2 linked regions of the Cricetulus griseus genome follow. The protein of the gene in region 2 binds, or shares a complex with, the protein of the main gene of each other region. Links are inferred from orthologs where the notes say so. Each region holds a gene or a part of one and is shown on either strand. Other genes may lie near its edges. The genes, in order: Map3k20 and Pkn1.

Region 1 (10,097 bases), on a different chromosome or scaffold from region 2:
AGTTTTCATTAGAGTGCTAAGCATTTTATGAAAGATGGTTTTAAAACCTAGTGAGTTAAATATTGATACTTTAAAAAACGATTTTGTCACACTAGACTTGGACAGCCTTGTGAAACCAGTCGAGTCCCACTATACCACAGACACACAGTTGAGCATAAATCTTTCTGTAATCAGGCACCGTCTGCTGCTTTCGAGAAAGACCATTTTCCTGTGTAGACTATAAGCACTGTCTCAGAGGCTCCATCCTGCCTCACATAGCGTAGCCTGACAGACAGCTCTAGGTACAGCATTCTGTGATTAAAAAATGAAGGTCTATCAGGAAATTGGGGACAGGCCATGTTTTCTCAGACTCCAACCTTGTGGGCACTCTGTTGCTTGTGTGAGAAACTTTCTGGCATGCAGTTAGTTATTTCAAACTAGAGTTCAGGCACTGAGGCAACTGTTTTATAGCATGTGAGGAATTCTCTTAATTCCCACACTACACACTGCTTTTGCACTCTAAAAAACTGCTATTAGAAAATATTTCTATCCTTTGAGTGTGGGCTTTTAATAGGAGGCATCATCACTGTGTTTTCATAGCAGTCTTCTCCCTTGCACTCTATTGCAATGTTATTCTGAGCAAGTCTTATGCCAAATGCCATGTATAATGTTTGTATGGATGATTAAACTGCGCTCCTGTGTGGTAAGACTGTTTAGTTGCCGACTTCATAATTGGGATTTGATATCCCAGCACGGAGTCCACGATGTATTCAGAAATCCAAGTTGGTGTCATACATTTCATTCTGATGTGAACTTTTCTCTGCTTTCCTTTGTTCTAAGACTCCATTTTGCAATAAACGTTTTGACAGTAAACCCCTTTGTTATGTGTCGCTGTGTACATAAGATCTTTGTTAGACCGGATTCCTAACATCCTTTGAAGAAATCAGTGTCACACACATGCACATGAGTGCTAGCTTTTCTCTCCTGAAGTCTGTTGGAGTATAAATAATGAATTACTAAAGTGATGGGGCAGTCATGAGGGATTTTTTTTTATCCCCAAAGAAAACAGAAAGGCTTAGAACTCTTCTACAGCAGATGCACTGATATGTTAACAGGGTACAGAAACCGTGAAGGCGATGGTGAGCCTCTGTGTGGCTGGAGATCATTAACTCTTAGCCCCTGTCTTGCCCAATTCAAACCGTCTTGCAGCAGCGCCTGGTCCCAGCCCTCCTCTCACTGATCTTTGCAAGCATCTGCAGACTCCTGCTGGAGGGAGCATCAGGCAAAGCTCAGGTCTTCCCTTTGGCATAACCTTGATGAGCTGGCCACAGCGCAGCAAGAACTCCACTGTCCTTCCCACATTAAAACTGAAGGTGTGCTTATTTCATTTATACTCTTTATTCAAGAAATGCTTATTCCTCAGTTTCGTTAGCACATGTGGAAAGTATATAAAAGTCAAAACACCACACACACATACATGGGCATACACAACATCACATCCGCACATGCCCTGACATCCTGCAGAGACCAGCCTCAACGCAGGGCAATACTTCTATATGGTATCTCAATGTCTCTTACTTTACGTTTGTATCCATGGTGGACAAAAGGGGTGGCATGTTTCTGCAGCTGTATGCAGCTGCCCTGCGAAGAAGTAAAGCTTGTCATGTGTTTCTTTGATTGAGATCAACTTCAGATGAGCTTCCTTGGGTCCCTCGTCCACACTATTAAAGTGAGCATGCTGGGTGACTCCTTCATAGTGCGTGTGTAGAGGGTATGTGGAAAATACTACTGACTCAAGCCTTTGCTGTATGTCCTTGCAACCTATATGTAGTATCCAGAGTCTGCACATTCATGTTTAAAATAATAAAACCTGCTCTGCTGCACTCAGAATTGGCTTCCTTCTCTTTTTCCTCCAACACAATTTCACCTCATCCTGTGCTCCAATTAAGTGAGCATGTCATACCCACTCCTGTGGCCAGTATCTATCTAGTTGTTCTTCCTTGCCTTCTCTTTTTCCCCAGGGCCTGCCATCCCCAGCTCAAGCCACTTTCCCTGACATATGCTGTGGTACATCGGTCTTTGTATGCCTATCAGCACTGAGTAGACTACCAAACAATTTGGCAACTGAATAATGCATCCTTCATTCTATAATTTTATTCATTCTATAAGTTAGTATGATAAAATTTACACAGGTGGGGCTAGAGAGAGAACTTGGTTGGTAAAATGCTTGCTTTGCGTAAATGAGGACCTGTGTTCAAGTCCAGAATATACATAAAAAGCCAGCTGTTGTGGCCAGGGGCAGAGAGGCAGATAGGTCTCTGGTGCTCACCAGTCAATCAGCCCAGCCTAATTGGTGAGCTCTAAGCCCGTGAGGAGTATCTGAGGAATTACACCCAAGGTTTTCCTTTGGCCCTCAAACATGCATGTATCTACACACATACTCATGTGTACATGCCAATGTACCAAGTATAGTGCATTAATAACAAAAAATGATAAAATGGGCCTCCCCCAAATATAATCCACAGATGTTTCACTCAGTTCTAATAAAATTCTGTATAGGGATTATGCCTTTCCTTAAGCTTGTGGTTATACAATAAATACCTCTAAGTTGGAAAGATTAACTTAGCCACCATCAGATTGTCACACTAGCAGTAAACGTAACTAAATTCAACTTTTTGTCTTTTCTTTATTTTTATTGTTCTTTGAAAATTTTATGCATGTATGCAAAGTATTTAGATTACATCCACCCCCCATCAAATTCTTTTTCCCAATTTGCTCACACACACACACACACACACACACACACACACACACACACACACACAAAATTGTTTGTAACAGAGGCTGGGTGATATTTGGCATATTCTTTCATGAATAATCATCCTCACAAGTCAAACTGGTTGAAGCTATTGGCTATACCACACTGTAGCCCATAGGATACCGGCCTTTTCAAGTTATGAAAGTATTTGCTATTCAGCCCATAGCCATGGGATGTGAAAAGTTCTCTGGCATAGGCTGAAGTGCTCTACAAGTCCCCATCCCACATGTGTCCCTGACATGTTTCCGACTGTGTTGGAGCAACTCTGAGCCCAGATGCCTTAAGACAGTTCCATCCTCCCATGTCAGCCATGTAAGGGAGATGTTTAAGCCCCTAGAAACCCCTGTGAGAACAGGCAAAATAAATCACCTGACTACTTATGGTTGTTTTGGAATTTTTGATGGTAAATTATCCTATTATCCTACTTCTGGCTGAGAATTCTTAGGCTGCTCTGGTAGCTGGTGAATGTCAGAAAGGCCATGATTCTAAGGCCTTGCTGTGAGATGTATAGCCAGTCCTGCCTGCCAAACCCCATGCCAAAGAAGACTACATCAAGTTGTACCAACCCCTTAGAACAGCTCGTAAGGTAGAATGGATTGTTGCCAGGAATTCATTTACAAATCGGCTGCAGGGCTCAGCATCCTTGGACACTGAGAACCTCCTCTGAAGGTTGAGGAAACTGTCTTCCTCTCAACCTAACCCTCCAGAGGAAGCCAGAGCAGCAGGAGAGCTGATATGAGAAGACAAACCAAAAAGACTAGGATAATATTGCTTCCCTTTTTCATTTCCTTCGTATCTTCCACGCAGCTGCTGCCTTCCTTTGAGATCAGTGCATGGACTGAAGACGATGTGGTAAGCTGCTTCTGTTAATGCCTCATGGATCTGGATAGGAAGCCAGCAGATTTGTCCACAAGTTTGGAGATGCAGTTAGAGCTGGGTCTAGCTAGCAGAAGTTAACAAACTCCTCTTTTTGTTTAAATAATATAACAGTGATTGAAAATAAGGACTCAATAGCAAAAGCAATTAGCTCTTCAAATCTTATGAGGGTTTCATCTTCATAACTGGCTGTGAAAATACTCCAGAATATAGTAATGCCAATGGCAAGATAAAAGCTATACTATATTTTATAATTTCTATATACATATACTCCATGTACATATATATATGTATATATGTATATATATGTATGTATATATATGCATATATATATATATAGAGAGAGAGAGAGAGAGAGAGTATACACACACACACACACACACACTCCAGAATATAGTAGTATATCAATAGCAGGATAAAAGCTATGATTCAGAATGACAAGTACACATACTTGAAAAAAATTCAATTCTTAAACTTCTCTACAACACCAGTGGTAGACTTGAGCATACAGGAGAGAGACCATAACGGGCTGGAGTTCCCTGCACAGGTTCCCCTCCCACCTCAGGCCCGCTCATTAACTGACAAGATGCCTAACTGCCTTCCTTACTCTGGCCTTCCCCGAGAGGAATGGACAGAGTATGCCCCATAATCTTACATCCCAGGAGGCATGATACTTAAGTCTGCAGGAAGGCTCCATGCAGCTCTGGGTAGACTCCCTGAGGAGCAATCCCGGGTAGCCAGTTCTCTCTCCATATCTGCTTCCTTAATGGCAAAACAATTTTGAGAACTGCTGATGAGAGACTTCAGGGACCCTCGCCTGTCCAGATCCATTTTATAAGCTCAAGGGCATCATTAAATGCAGAAGAAAATAAAGATGAAATGCTAGCTAGTTCTAGCAAGGATGTGCTCCACCCTAGGGAGACAGACACCCCAAGGAGTCTCAAGGAAAAGTCATGATTAGGAATTCCAGGAGACCTGTTCTAGACGTCAGCCTGGTGTGGGGCTGGGGTGTGCCCCCTCTGCCCTTTGTTTTTTTTATGAAGTGAGTTTCTTGCTGCTTTAGGCAGCTGCGTGGGTCCCACAAAGCAAAGAAGCCAGCTTCCTGTTTCTCCCCTTCCTTGAACACTAGAAGCTGAGCCTCTTGCCAGCCCTGGCCCTGTATGTAATTGCTTCCTCCCCAGCTACAAGGGTGGTCCATCTCCTTTGAAAGGAAAGTGATTTGAAACAACTGAGTTCTGGGAGCTATTTTTAGTCTTTGCTGCAAGGTTAAGTGGCTCACATGCCATTCAGCTAAAAGTCCATTGTCTAGGGACCCAGGGAACCAGAGTGACTGAGTCTGGCCTCTTCTCTGTGTGTCTTCACCAGGGTAATGTTAGGTCACTGGTAAACAGGTGCCAAATGATATATACAAGGACAAGGGACCCCTAGGTGTAACCACCTCACTCGACACAGAAAGTACCATCTTTTGCATGGCCCCCAAATGGCTGCCATGGCCGAACAAGCTAATGGGAGTCGTCATCCTGTCCATCTCTATGTCCACTTCTGGGTGGTCCTTGTTACTCGTGCAGTTCCTGAAATAAGTATGGTAGCAGTCTACCTGCATGTATAATGGAAAAGTCACTATAGGAGCTCCTCTAGGAAAGATGTACACTTTCGCTCAAGGAAGTCTCTCAACTGCCCAATGCCCCCTACGGGAAGAATATCTCCAATTTGAGAGCTTGAGGCTTTAAACTCCAAAGAGAACTCTTTCATCTCTCCCTTGTGGCTAAGTTAAAGACATCTGAATCTATTGGAAACTGTTTTCTTGTTGAGAATGGCTACTGCCTGTATGTGACCCTCCCGAACCATGTGTGTCCTCTCTTCGCAGTATTTTTGGGTTCAGCAGCTCGTCAGAAAAGGCAAGTGAAATAAATTACCTTCGTATTTACAGAGTTAACTTTGTCGGGCTATGATTTATCCTCATTTCCTGCCTTCTGCACTTCTCTCCCAGGTGACTCTTCAGTAGAGATGAGTGGGTATGCAAGCTTGTTTAAGGAAAACAACATCACAGGCAAGCGGTTGCTGCTTTTGGATGAGGAAGATTTGAAAGACATGGGCATTGTCTCCAAGGGGCACATCATCCATTTTAAGGTACCCGGTGGGAGAGTGTCAATAAATCAATGTGTGGTATGGTGAGCCATGTGTGGGCAAATAGAGATGAAAGCATCACGGTATGGGACATTCGGTGCTGAAATACCTCCAGGCTTGTCCCTAACTAGTTGCCACACCTGCACTGCCCTGTTCCCACCTTAAAATCCCACAGCGGTTACCTGGATACAATGGTGTAACACCTCTGTATTGCCAGGAAGCCTCTAGTCTAGGGGGAAAATGGTGTGCAATGACACCTCTGAGAGATGCCACAGAGGAGACAGGGCTGGGCTAAGGGCAGGCTTCTGGAAGGGACATTAGGCAGGTGATGGCATTGCACTGGAGGAGGAGTCATGTGAGGGAGAAGCATTGCCAGAGGAAAGGCCTGGGGCAGGAGGAAGCTCAGTGGGCCCGAGGACTGCAACTAAGGTAAGGTCACACCTAGAGAGCGGTTACCACACCCAGGACTAGCCGAGGCCGCTTAGCCCACTTACAGCTGGAGGGGCCAGACATTCATGAGAAGTCCTGAAGGAGCCTGGAACTTTGCCCATTTGGGATTAGTTGGTTAAGTAGGAGTGTGGCCTCAGGTCTGGTGGTCTGGAGACTGCTTACCTACTGGCACCAAGAGAACTGTGGGCAGGGACTTCAGGGCCAGGAAACCCTTCATAGTTGCATCCGGGAGCTGAGTTGACTATTAGTGTGGCCCAAGCACACTAATAGGGGCCTAACAGGCCTTACCGATGGGGTCAGGAAATAGATGGGTGGAGCTTTACCATCTGTCTCTAGTCTCCTGTCCTTTCAGTGATGGCCAACTACCATGTCTACATATGCTTAACCACTGATAGAGGTTAACATCCCCCAAGATGTTCTATAAACTACATAAAGTCCTTTATTTTGTATGCTCAGTAATTTTAATCATCTTTGGTATCATCAAAGCATTAATAAAGTCACGTGATTTTTCTCCTTACAGTCAGCTATCGAGAAGCTGGCCCACGATTACCTGAACCTGTTTCACTTCCCACCACTAATTAAGGTGAGTGAGGTTTCCTCACTGACGGCTCGCTGCTTTTATTGGCATACGCACCTGCCACATCCACACCCGACTTCGCTAATGTCTGGGACTGTTGTTTGAAGTGAAATGTAATTACTTCTGTCCAACAAAAGACCCTTTGACGACTGTGATCTGTATAAATTACACACATTTGTTCCCCACGCTTTGAAATATTAACAACACATTCAAGATAAGAATAGTACCCCCCACTAAGATTGTAGGTGAAGGCCTCTGGCCTCATGCCTGGTTCTAGAGGCCTTTAAGTTACTAAAAAAAAAGCCACACACCAGAGCTCTGGGTTGCCACTTTCCCTCGGGGTGGAGGGGTAGGGAGTGTTATTTAAATAGAACACTAAATAGCAGTGCCCCTCCTTGTCCATGGGAATACATCCCAGCACCCCCTGCAGATGCCTGAAACTGAGATTAGCACCAAACCCTATGTATACTGCCTTTTCCTGTGCAAACATGCCTGTGACAGAGTTTAATATTATAAACTGGGCACAGTGAGAGATTAACAACAGCCAGTAATAAAACAAGTATAACAGTTTACTTATTAAAAAGCTATCCTAAAATTTGTGAACTGTTTACTTCTACAACTTTTATTTAACAGTTTTGGACCAGAGCTGACTGTAGGTAACTGAAACCATGGGAAACAAAACCATGAATAAAGAGGGACTACTGTACTTAACTTACAGCTGTGAATATGGTCTAAGGATACATGACACACTTCATTATAAAAATTAGCAAATGCTTGTAGTTAATACCTAGAGCTGTGGCTTGGGTCTCTCAGTCCACATAGACTGAAGAAGCTGCAGATTTCCTCTCAGGAAAGAGTGTATAAACACCTTGAATACTCTGAAGCTCTCAGTCTGCAATCTTACCATGCATCCAGTGCAAACTGTTACTCTGAAGCTCTCAGTCTGCAATCTTACCATGCATCCAGTGCAAACTGTGCTTCTAGAATGAAGTGCATAGTGCCAGATGCACCCAGAAAGCCACGCCAGTGACACTGCTCGGAAAAGCATAAGAGAAACCATTCAGCAAAGTCCTCAAAGCTGTGTCACTTCTCCTGCTCTCGGTCAGTAGTTACAAATTGTATCTTACTTTAATAATAGAAGTTCAATAAAAGATTAGAATGGAAAAACCTGTTAGCACCAGGAGCTAGGGGAACTACAGAAGTATAGGCAGGGGTTTGGGGACTAGGGACCCCTTAACAGTCAGAACCAGGAGCGGGGCTAACCAGGAAGTGTGGGCTGAGCAGTCGGGGCCTGGTGGGCTCTTTCCTGTGGCAGAGGTAAGAAGAAAGAAAAAAAGTAAAAAGTACCTGCTTTACATGAGAAATCAAAGTGAAAACCGATCTCTAATAATAATATCTGCTTTTCTATTTTAGGATTCAGGAGGGGAACCTGAAGAAAATGAGGAAAAAATTGTGAACCTTGAACTTGTTTTTGGTTTTCACTTGAAGCCAGGAACTGGCCCACAGGTAACATGTTTCAAATCATTTGGGTATTTTCAACCTGTAACTCAGTGGTTTTGTACAGTCCCTACCACCTGGTAACATGATTCAGAATAAAAGTGTAGACTGAAGGCATCATAAAGCAGAACCTAGCTGACAGGCAGCCAACTTCCTTTGGAATCCAATCTAAGAAATGTCAGTTTCCATCAGTAAAAAAATACTGGGGGAGACCATTCAAACTTTCAAGGTCACACATAGCAAAACACAGGCAGTGGGAGTTTTGGGGATGGCTCATTCCGTTCTCTGGCTCCTGGCTCTTGAGGAAAATAAGAATAAAACCACACCAAGATTGGAATGGAGACAAAGTGGAGAAGCAAGTTAAAAGTGATGAGGACAGCTAGGCAGTGTTGGCACATGCCTGTAACCGCAAGCATGAGGAAAGCAGGGCAGGGGGATCGATGAGAGTTTGAGGCCAACCTGGTCTACAGAGGAGTTCTAGGACAGCCAGGGCTACACACACAGAAACCCTGTCTCAAACAAACAAACAAACAAAAACCCCAAAACCAAAAATCTAAAGTGATGAGGACCAACTGGGGCAGTGCTATGAGCCCCAGCCGCCTGAGATGGAACTGATGAGACTTAACACTCACTGGAGATGGAGTGAGAGAGAGGAAGAGAGAGGAGCCAGCTGGGACAAAGGTTTCTAACTGAGCGGCTGCATAGATGGTGTTATAAAGTAACAGATCAAAAGGAAACCCTATTGTGCTGGTGCCATGCCAAGGTGCCGAAAACATAAGGAAGTAACTGATGTGGGGGTGATCAGGAAACACTTGGGGGAAGGCCTAAGTTTTGAACTGGAGCTTGAAGAGGCTGATGGGCCACTATAAAATAGTTACCTGAATAAAATGAATAAAACCTGTCTTCAGAGACTTTCTGGAAATCTTAACTATTTTCTGAATGTCATCTCACCAGTCCCCTGGCATTTATGTCAGATGCACGAGACACAATGATGTCATCTTTGATTGAGAAACAAATAAAACAAGACAAAGTGTGTGACTAGCCTGGGATGATGTGACAACAGATAGAGCCAAAACTCATGGCTTGCTTTTTGTTTTCATTGTATATGTGCTAACTCATTTAAGCCACCTCTAAAATGAAATGAAACAGTCACCGAATAGATTACTCTCCAGTTCTACAGTACCCCATTATGTCACTCTATACCCTAAATAACAAAACATTACTTCAGAACTGTGCTTTGAGTGGAAATTATAGTTTATATGAGAAGTCTTAATTACCTTAACACTTAAAAGTAGAACCCATTAAAAAAAAAAAAAAAGACTTCCTCAAAACCCCAGTTAACTGGGTTCTCATAAACCTACCTCTGCAAGCCCCTCATGACTAGAATAAAAACTTCATGAGACACTGTTATTCTGAAATCCTCCCCAAACTCTGCTGGATGTTACCTTTTCTTTCACATGTAAATGAGAAGGATGGTCCAACAGGAGCCACTGGAGAATAATGTGTGACAGTGATTCCTTTCATGAAAATAGTCACAACTTTTTCTCTTTGCCTTTGAGGAGGACTATTGAGTAACAATACCCTAAAAGTGGTGTTAATCATCTTTGCTTTACTATAACAAAATGCCTGGCAGAAATTACTTAAGGGAAGACAAATGCATTTTAGACCATGGTTTTGGAGGCTTTTAGTCAGCTGTGTCGGGGAAAGGCATGTACAGCAGTTCAGTTCTTAACAGGGACCTTGTGGTAGAGGCTGCAGACATCATGGTAGACC
Region 2 (10,596 bases):
CCTCCAAAGCTACAGAGAAACCCTGTCTCAAAAAACCAAAACTAAATAATAAATAAATAGAAGGTCAAAGAATAGGCCAAAAACAAGGCCTCCTTCCTCCCAGTTGCACTGACCAGGCTCGCCACAGGTGGGCCCTATCTCCCTTAATTTGTGACCTATGCAATGGGATTCTGGCAGGAAGACTCCAAAAGACCCCTTTTTTCTTCCAGTTTCCTGCACTCCTAACCAGGAGGTTCCAAGGGCAAGCTACATGTTTCTTTTGCCATACTCCAAAACCAGGAGAACCTTAGAAACATATCCTGACTTCTCTGATCTGCATTCCCAAACTGGGAGATCCCAAGGGCCAGCCCTGCCTTCCTGTCTTCTCTATCTGGTACTCCAAAGACGGCGCTCATCTCCTCCCACATCTCCCAAACCAGAGAGCTGATGTGGCACCCAAAAGTTAGAGAACTAACTTGTGCCCCATCTCCTTCCTACCCTTAGTCCCCAACTGAAAGGTACCCTCAGCTTCTGTCTCTAGGGGTCTCCTTCTGCCCATCCTATGGAGACCTAGCCCCTACCTCCAGATCCAGATGCAAAGGGGAATCAGCCGCCATCTGGGTCCTGGGTCTGGTCTGAGGGCCACGCCCTCTTCCTGAACCTCAGCCCTGCCAGGGCCTCTGGACTGCCACTTCCTCTTTCCTGCCAGCTCCCAGCATCCTCTGCGCCAGGGCAGCTCTAGGGCATGGGGTTTGTTGTTGTTGTTGTTGTAGTTTTATTGGGGGTTGTTTTGTTTTCTTTTTTTCTTTCTTTTTTTTTTGAAACAGGGTCTCTCTATGTAGCCCCGGCTGTCCTAGAATTGACTATGGAGACCAGGGTGGTCTGAAACTTACAGAGATCTGCCTGCCTTTGCCTCCTGGGTTCTGGGATTAAAGGCATGTGCCATGTAAGAGGTTCTTCCCACATCACCCCCTAAATGGCCATGCTTGCTTCTCTGGAGGCAAGCCAGGGACAGGTAGCCCTTAATTCCTGGCCTGAGAGAACACCCTGGATATACACACCCACAGTTGTATGTAGCAGACAGGATCTCATGTGGTACACAGCATATGTGTGAACCAAAGATAGGCTCATAGGTACGATCACATTTCCAGTTTTGCAGGTGTGAGATTTGCTCACAGGCTCACACATGCACACACATAAGCTCATATATATGTATACCCTTGTCATAGCTAGCTTCAGCTGTCAACTTGACAAACCTATGAAGAGGGAACCTCAACTGAGGGGTTGCCTCTGTCTGACTGGCCTGTGGGCATGCCTATGAGACATTTTCTTAATTGCTAACTGATGTAGGAGATCCCAGCCCTCTGTGGGCAGTGCCATCCCTGGCAGGTGGGCCTGGCCTGTGTAAGAAAGGAGCTGAGTAAGCCAGAGGAAGTGGGCCAGTAAGCAATACTCCTCTGTGGTTTTGTTTTAAGCTCCTGTCTTGATCTCCAGCCCTGACTTCACTCCATGGAGGACTATAATTTCTAAGACCAAATAAACCCACAGACAGGTGTAAGGGTAAGCGGACAGCCATGAGTGCTAGTTTGAGCCCTCCATAAGCTTCTCTCTCTCTCTCTCTCTCTCTCTCTCTCTCTCTCTCTCTCTCTCTCTCTCTCTCTGTCATTGCCCATGTCCCCACAGCAGCCCTGAGGCCCTCAGTCATGCTACTGCCTATTCATGTCTTGTCCCTTGTCCCCAACTTCCCCTTAAGAATCAGAACAGTCAGTGCTGTAGTAGAGGGTGTGTGTGTGTGTGTGTGTGTGTGTGTGTGTGTGTGTGTGTGTGTGTGTGTGTGTATTTGTGCAGCTTCCTGTAGACAGGCAGCATCAACTTCCTGTTTCTCCCTACCCAGATGTCCACCACGGCTGATCTCAGCTTGGGAGCCTAGGGGGCCCACCTGCCTTAACAGTAGCTCCCTGAAGTTCACTCCAGGAGAAGACAGCCCTGAGTGGCCCCAAATAGGAGACCACACTTGTTTGCCAAATATACACTAAATCTGAACTATCAGTGGTACAGTTAAAACGTATCAGGGACAAGGTATATATGAAAACATTCTATTTTCCATTGGATTTTACTGTGAACCTAAAACTGCTCTAAAACAAAAACATTTTTAAAAATAGTAGGAGTGTTGTTGGACAGATGGTTCAGCAGTTAAGTGCTCACACTGCTCTTCCAAAGGACCTGAGTTCAGGTCCTAGTAGCAGTGCCTGTAACTTCAGTTCCAGGTGGATCTGATGATGGCTCTGGCTTCTTCGGGTATATGTACATACCCCCCAATATACATCATTAAAAACAATAAAATCAATAAAAGTAGTAGTAACAGCAGTGGGTGAAGTTTGGTAGAATGTACAAGCTCCGAACCTCGTAAGTAACAACAACAGCAGCTACACAATCCATCCAAGTCTCAACTAATGTCATTCCATGTTACAGGTACTACCTGTTTTGTTTTGCTTCATAGTGTTCTGTGCTAGGTCTCATGTAACACAAGGTGGCTTTGCATTCAATGCACAGCAAAGGCTGGCCTTGAACTCCTGCCCCTCTTGCTTCCTCCTTGCTAGTTCTAGAATTGTGGCGTGCACCTTCACATCTGGCACAGCATGATGCAGATGCCTCAGATACATAGACAGAAATCAAACTATCTGCAAAATGAAGAAACTGAGGCCCAGCAAGGCTTTCTGCCACGTGCCTTTGATCCCTATACCCAGCAAGAGGGGCAGGAGGATGTCTGAGTTCCAAGACAACTGGTCTACACAGTGAGACCCTAACCAAAAAAAAGAAGAAAGGAAGAAACTACCTAAGGCCCCCTTGCCCTAAGATCCCACAGCCAGCAAGAGATAGGGCCAAGCTTCCTAACACTAACTGGGAGGGATCCATGTGCACCACACCTTACCACTGTGAGCAAAGTTCTCCTAGGCTCTTAAGCCCTCCTGGAGAGTAGATAAGATTGCAGGTCAAGAGCACAGATCTATGATCCTATCATCTCCTCTCTATATATCATCCCCCCCATGGTGACTACTATTCTGAATAGTAGTCACCATGGGGGGAAACTGGGACTCAAAAAGGCCGTAACAGTGGCTCTCAGTGAAGATGGGGTTGTTTTTTCATCATCTCTAGAAATACATGTCAATGTCTGGGGTCATTCTTGGTTGTCATTACAACCAAGGTACACAAGAGACACCTGTCAAGTGGAGGCCAGTGCTGCTGCTCAGCACCCTGAGGCACACTGGACAGCCCCCGCCACAAAACGATCCAGACCCAAATACCAGTGCTGGGGCCTTGGGAAGAGGCATGGGCTCCCGGATTGGACTACCAAGCACCATGTTCACAGGTAAAGACGTCACAGAGGCCCTTAGAGCACTGGCTGAGACTCCACCTCTCTTCTCATAACCATTCATAACCCCATTCCCTCCTCCAAAACAGGAACAAGACTCAGAAAAGTAATGGCTTTCACCCAGGAGTTCATCAGGGAAGACAGCACTGGATTTAAGCCCAGCCTCACCAAACAACACTCTGGCATGACTGGGCCCCACCCACGGTCCCTCACCATCACCCTCCCCCCACCATCAGGCAAAGCAGGTACACAGCCAGGAGCAGGGCCAGTTCAAATGGGGAGCATACAGGCAAAGAGGAAAAGTGAAGGCTCTCAGCCCCACCTCCAGTAGAGGAGGCCTGAGAATGTGTAACGCATGCAAGGAAGGCCTCCTGGGTCCTCCTCCCCTGGGTGATTCACTTGCCCAGGGCCAAGGAGTCACTTAAGGGCAGCAGGGCAAATGCTTGGCCTGGTCTTGAAGAATTAGAACATCAGCTTCTCCACCTGCCATCACAGACCTGGAGACACCAAACCAAGAACTCTCATCTTGGGAAACCTTCTTGGCAAAGTAGCTAGGGATCCAGAACCCCACATCCTGAGATTTCAATGCCTGGGGCGTTCCCAGAATCTAGACAGGACATCCGTTTGCCAGACACAGAACAGACAGGCATGGAGGTAGTGAGGCAGGGCAGCAAGTCCAAGCAGGAATGAACTTAAGGGAGAAGACAGAGAGGAGACGAGATGTTGGTCCAGACTCATTCTGGGAATCACAGCCTCCATATGTGCCCTGTGTGGGACACCCCAAGCACATGCACGCTCTGGGAAAGCCCTCCACAGCCCTCTGTGGGCTTGAAGGGGAGCCAGCACCCAGTGCATCACGCCTCTCCGGAGGTCTGACCTTGTGAGATCGGCAGCACCAGATACGCCCAGCTCCTCGGCAAGGCCGGCAGGCCATCAGCAGGACTGGGGAAGAGGGGTACAGGAGGGTGCAGGGGAGACACGGGGCAGGTGCAGAAGATGAAAACCAGTTACATAGGACAATGGACTTCATGGTGAAGAACTAATGGAGTCACAAAGATACCAAGATCTCAGATTTGGGTCATTAAATTAGAGAGTGGAAAGTGATCCTGACCCTGCTTCCTCTTGGGAAGGTGAGTTCAGAAATGCCCAACAGGTAACACAGGGAAGGCCATGGGCTGGCAGATGCCAGTCACAGGTGTCTGTTGCAAGGATGCGGTTACCCAGTCCTGTCGCCTTCCAGACATAAAATCCTTCCTGCCTTTGTGACAGGACACGCCCCACCTGAGATATGGCTCCATCTGTCAGGCTGAAGGGTGACTAAGGGCGGGGGCGGGGGGGACCGGCCTCTGGCCTAATGAAGTGACTTAGGCACTTCCTCCAACAGGTGCCCATCTGGTGGCGTCAAAATCATCGTAAAGACGTCTGCGGGCGGGGGTGGCCCGGCTTTGTTGTGCGGGGGAGGGGCACGGGCCGCGCGGCAGGGCGCCAGGCACCTGCTCCAGGTAAAGCGGCACCTGCCAGAAACGGAACGCTGAGGTCCTGGGCGAGCAGGGCGTGGGGACGGAACCCGCAGCTGGCCTGGGACACCCAAGCGGCGTCCCCGTTGCGCCCGCTGACTCTCGCGGAGGGCCGGAGGAGGAGGTGCGGTGGCAGGATCGCGAACAGCACCTCTTCCTCCGAGCACCTCGACGCCCCGACCTGCTACAAGGGCCCGCGCGAACTCCCTAAGGGGACCTCGTCCCGGGCTCTCCCGGTGCCTGGGGTCCTCGTGCCGTCCGGCCGCCCCGCGGGTGCGGACCAGTCTCCTACCTGCACGGCGTCGCCGGCCATGTCCTCCGGCCGCCCGCCCGCCAGGGGTCCCAGCGCCGAGGGAGGGCTTGCGAGCGCGCGAGCGGGCGCGGCGGGAGGCGCGGCGCCCAGACCCTCCCTGGCGCGCGGCGCGCTCCGGCCTGCTTCGCTTGGCCCGGCCTGGCCAGGCCTCCGCCGAGCTGCGCCCTCCGGCCCGCGGCGCAGGACGGGTCACGTGAGCGCCGCTGTCCGCGCCCGGGGAGGAGGCGGGGCGGGGCGGATGGGGGCGGGGCTCCCGGCGGCCCCCGGGGCTTGCAGTCGGGAATGGGGGTCTCCTTTGCTGTGCGTGCGGCTCGCCCTGCGCTCCTTGTAGCGTGCTGGAACTCTCGAGAGGCCTAAGCCGTCGCGAGCTTCAGAGAGGCCTTGTCCCCGCCTCGGATCCCTCAGAAAGCAAAAGTCACGATCCATCTCCCCGCTGCCCAGCAGCACAGGCTCATCCTCCCATTTTCCCGGAGGCAAGCACTGTGAGAACAGGATTTCAAATCCCAGGTCCCCGGCCTTTGGAGACCACCTTACCCCTCAAGGCAAGGATGTCCGTAAAACTTAATGAGAAACAGTAGGCCAAGTGCAGAGACCTCAAGTTTATAAAAAGAAAAAAATGACAGCAGCTGTCACTGTTAGTGTTTTGAAGACTATTTTGATTTATGTATGTTAGAAATACGTTCGAAGTGGCCAAGAAAGAGACCACCATTCTAACTGAAATGTCTGAACAAGGCAAAATTTGCTCTTGATCAAGACAGTGCTGGGGAAAACCAAACAAGGAGACAGGAAGTACATTTGGTTTTTATTCTAACTCAGGTGACCTCACAATCTTATTCAATTGGCTAGTTTGGAAAAAAAATGGTACAGAAGGAGTGGAGGAGAAAGGGGGATGGGGTCACTTCTCCAAGCCAGCAAATTCCTAGAATGGAGCGGGGGGGGGGGCCGCGGGGGGGCAATGTATAAACAAAAGTTTTACTGGGTAGGGAAGATTAAAATATCTCCATAAAGTCTTACAAGGTAGGGGAGATAATGATTGTAATTACTGTCCAAAACATAAGTTTTATAATATTTGCTAGAAATGACTCTTATGCACTTATGTACAGGGCCTCGAGACCAGAAGAGGACATGGGATTCCCTAGAATGAAGTTATAAATGGGACTGTGAGCCATCCCACCTGGGTGCTCTGCTCCGGGCCTGACTTGTGTGTTTGTGCGTGCATGCACAAGCCAGGGCAAATGTGTGGTGGTCAATGGACAACTTGCAGGGTCAGTTCTCTTCTTCCACCCTATCGTTTTTTGGGGGGGGCCAAACTCAGGTCATCAGGCTTGGCCTTAAGTGCCTTTAACTGCTGAGCTATCTCACCAGACATGCAGTTCCTTTGCCACTATTGATAAAGGAATTTGAACCTCAGCATGGCCTCTGATGCACTGAGCCTTGTGGATCCCTGGGGGCTCTAGTTTTTGCCCTCTGTGAAGTTTTGCTGGCTTTTTCCTGGATGCAGCATTCATACGGTACTCCCATACTGTCCAAATGGACCATAGAGGCCTCTGCAGAATTTCTCTTGGGGGACCACAGTAATGCAGGTGGAGTTTATACTGTGGTAGCTGTGAGGACCTCTCACTCAGAAACCCAGTGAGAGATTCAAACTTTGGTCCTCAGGGCTCCGGGTAATACCTACAGTGGGTGCCCTCCAGGAATCAGTGCTGGCACAGGGGAACAAGAGTATATCTATGTGTCTCTGTCCTCCCAGGGACCTCTCTCTCTCTCTCTCTCTCTCTCTCTCTCTCTCTCTCTCTCTCTCTCTCTCTCTCTGGGATTTTAACCGAGAGGAGGAAAATTGAAACAATAGGGAAGCCACTCCCTTAGCATCTTGCCCAAGCCCTCAACAAGCCCAGTACACCATCACTGATCTTTCTGGACCAGAGTAGAACCCTTCTTGTCTCCCAGCCTCCTCCTAAAGTCTCTTCTCCAAGCACAGCCCAAGGGGGCCTATGAACACCTAAAGCCTAGACATTTCTAGGAGGAACCCACCAGGCCCTGTGTGATGATGCCCTTGCCTTCTCCATGTCTCTCCTCACCCCTTCAGCAAGTTAACATCCTAATTATACCTCAAATGTGTGCTGAGTGAATTAAATAGCTTGCCAAACTAATCATCTGGCTTCCTTTTTGCAGATTGATAAAAGAGAGGAACCCCTTGCCTTCATAATCAAGACATGATGTTCATGGCCCCTGCATAGTGGGCAAGGAACCCGCCCATTTCACAGTTGAGGAGGGCATGGGATTGGCAGGGGAAAACCTTGCCCAGGCCCTGCCTGCCAGGTTCTGAGCTGCCTCTGGGGATGGAGCATGGGAATCCAGCCAGGCTCTCCTTCAACCTCCCAGTGTTCATTTACTCAGTCAGTCTTTATCACTGTCTGCTAGGGATTTGGGTGCACTGGAAACAGAGCTGTACTCTAGGCTTTAAAAGGGACATAGAACTAATTGTAAAATCCCCATATAACAATGATAAAAGTCCCAGCAGATCCCTGAAGCATCCCTGGTCTCCCTCCAATCTACTCTGGGGCCAGGAAACACTAGATCCCAGACACGTTATGTCTCACCACGGTCTGTCTGGCTCTCTGTGCTGGAAAGTCTAGTTCTGTCTTTGAAGAAGTCTTAGAAAAGGTTTCTCATCCTCATTTGGCCTTCAAGGCAGTCTGTCCAGCCGCTCTGATTCCTCATCTTGCTTCCAACCACAGGGCCTTTGTACAGGCTGTTCTCTAGCTTTAAATGTCTTTCAGTCATATTTCCCCAAGGCTGGTGCCCTTTGCTCATTTATTTATTGAAATTTTTATTACATTAAAATTGTATTTAAATGTATTTTATGTTTATGTCTGTCTGGGGTAGATATATGCACATGGGTCCAGGTGCCCAGAGGCCAGAAAAGTTATCAGATTCCCTGGGACTGGAGTTCCAGGTAGTTGTGTTACTTAACTGCTGCCATCTCTCCAGTCCCAATTTATGGTACATGTTAAAATATATTTACTATCCGTGTGTGTGTGTGTGTGTGTGTGTGTGTGTGTGTGTGTGTGAGAGAGAGAGAGAGAGAGAGAGAGAGAGAGAGAGAGAGCAAGCGCACATGTGCCACCAATGGCACATAAGCAGTGCTCAAAGGATAATTCTCAGGAGTCATTCTCATCTTTTCCCATGTGGGTCCTGGGCTCAAACTCTGGTTGTCAAGCAAGATGGTGGGTGCCTTTGCCTTCTAAGCAATCTCACTGGTCTACTTTATATTTTTGGTTGTGAACCTAGCCTTTAACCGCTGAGCCATCTCTCCAGCCCATCACTGGCCTATTTTAAATATTTTTTGTTTTAATCAACTGCTTAAATGACACTATTCTGAGACCCTCACAATCCTCCCCTGTGGCTTGAGGCTGTATCTCCAGTCCTTGGCATGTTCTGACTTAATTTCAAAGCCACTGTGCTTTGGCTGTGGTGGTTAGAATAGGAATGGCCCCCATAGACTCATATATTAGAGTGTTTGGTCCCTAGTTGATAAACTGTTGGGATGGATTGGGAGGTGTGGCCTTGTTGGAGGTAGTGTGTCACTGGGGGTGGGCTCTGAGGTTCCAAAAGCCAATGCCAGGTCCAGACTTGCTCTCTCTGCACTGTGCCTATGTATGGGGATGGAAGTTCTCAGCTACTGTTCCAGCACGGTGCCTACCTGTCACCACTCCCCAACATGATGGTGACCATGGATTAATCCTCTGAAACTGTAGACAAGACCTCAGTTAAATTCTTTCTTCTATAAGTTGCCTTGGTCATGATGTCTATTCACAGCATAAAGAACAGTAACAAAGGCCTTGCTGTCTTCTTCTGTAGAATGGAGGAGTGGACACAGTGAGAGGTGGCAATGGAGCATTATCCCTATGGAGGCCTGAAGACAACCACACCATGGTGGGGGATGAACTGGACCAGGGTTCTCAGAGGAGCGTTAAAGAATGAGAAATGTGCCCGATTGATTGTAAGGAGAGCTCTACATGACGACTCTGACTGCCTATGTTTCCCAAAATTCTCCTGCTCTGGTAGTCCTGCCTATCCTTCCTGCCTGGCCACTAGCCAAACAGTGTTTTATTCATCAACCAATAAGAGAAACATATACAGAAGGACATTCCCATCACCTGATGGTTAGAAGGGAGAAGAAGCAGATGTCTGTGGATTTGAGAGGCCAGTCAAACCACCTCTTCTCAAAAAAACAAAAAGGCAGGAATTGGTGTTCCACACCTTTAATCACAGCACTTGGAGCAGAGAGGAAAGAGGATCTCTGAGTTTGAGGACAGCCTGGTACACAGAGAAAGTTCCAGAACAGCCAGAACAGTTACACAGAGAAAGTGTGTCTTTTTTTTTTTTTTTTCCTTTGAGACAGGGTTTCTCTGTGACTTTGGAGGCTGTCCTGGAACTAGTTCTTGTAGACCAGGCTGGTCTCGAACTCACAGAGATCCACCTGTCTCTGCCTCCCGAGTGCTGGAATTAAAGGTGGGCACTACCACCGCCTAGTTTGAGAAAGCCTGTCCAAAAAAAAAAAAACCAGGGGAGAGGCTCAGAATCCTTAGGGAAAACAGTGAAGTTCTGGGGTGCTATTGGCTTTTCTGTCCCCCCATCTTCTACTCTCCTCCATCAATCCACTCTGGCGAGAGGGGCCTCCTCACTGCTCCTCAGACAAACCTGTCCTGACCTCAGGACCTTTGAACTGGTTACTGGTTCTTCTTTCTGTTATGCTATTCCTTCTCTCTCTCTCTCTCTCTTTCTGAGACAGGGTTTCTCTGTGCAATGGTCCTGGCTGTCCTGGAACTCACTCTGTAGACCAGGCTGGCCTCAAACTCACTGAGATCTGCCTGCCTCTACCTCTGCCTCTCAAGTGCTGGGATTAAAGTCATGCGCCACCACCGCCCCGCAATGCTGTTGCTTTTCATCTTGACCTTCTTTCTCCTTTTATTCCCACTTTTGTTCAAATGTCACCTCCTAAGTCAGACCTTCTCTGAAACCTTCACCTACAACAAACCCCATCCGTCCCATCCAACCTCCATGCTGAAAATTAAAATCAGTATTTATGTTATATTCTGTGTATGAGTGTTTTGCCTGTATGCATGTGTATACCAAATGCATTCCTGGTCCTGCACAAGTTAAAAGAGGTCATCAGATCCCCTGGAACTGGATTTTAAGATAGTTGTGAGCCACAGGTGGGTGCTGGGAGCCAAACCTAGGTCCTCTGCAAAAGCAACAAGTGCTCTTAGCCATCTTTCCAGTGGCTGAACCCAGGGCCTTGTACATCTGGACAGGTGTTCCACGGCTCAGCTACATCCTCAGCTTTCCTGAGAAAATTTATTTTAAATTAGTTTACATATATGGATGTTTTGCCTGAGTGTACTGTGTTG

The links.
Region 1: Pkn1 (region 2) and Map3k20 share a complex: the UniProt entries of both Homo sapiens proteins name them as parts of the signaling complex. The link is inferred for Cricetulus griseus from reciprocal best matches to the Homo sapiens genes PKN1 and MAP3K20.

What each region holds. Positions count from the first base shown.
Region 1 is NC_048599.1:102,752,927-102,763,023, reverse strand, and holds part of Map3k20 (mitogen-activated protein kinase kinase kinase 20), read left to right. Parts: exon of another isoform or gene 1-852; intron 853-3,604; coding exon 3,605-3,649; intron 3,650-5,540; coding exon 5,541-5,571; intron 5,572-5,663; coding exon 5,664-5,803; intron 5,804-6,770; coding exon 6,771-6,833; intron 6,834-8,240; coding exon 8,241-8,333; intron 8,334-10,097. UniProt on the Homo sapiens protein: Stress-activated component of a protein kinase signal transduction cascade that promotes programmed cell death in response to various stress, such as ribosomal stress, osmotic shock and ionizing radiation.
Region 2 is NC_048596.1:160,712,761-160,723,356, reverse strand, and holds the start of Pkn1 (serine/threonine-protein kinase N1), read right to left. Parts: upstream 5,359-10,596; 5' UTR 5,183-5,358; coding exon 5,162-5,182; intron 1-5,161. UniProt on the Homo sapiens protein: PKC-related serine/threonine-protein kinase involved in various processes such as regulation of the intermediate filaments of the actin cytoskeleton, cell migration, tumor cell invasion and transcription regulation.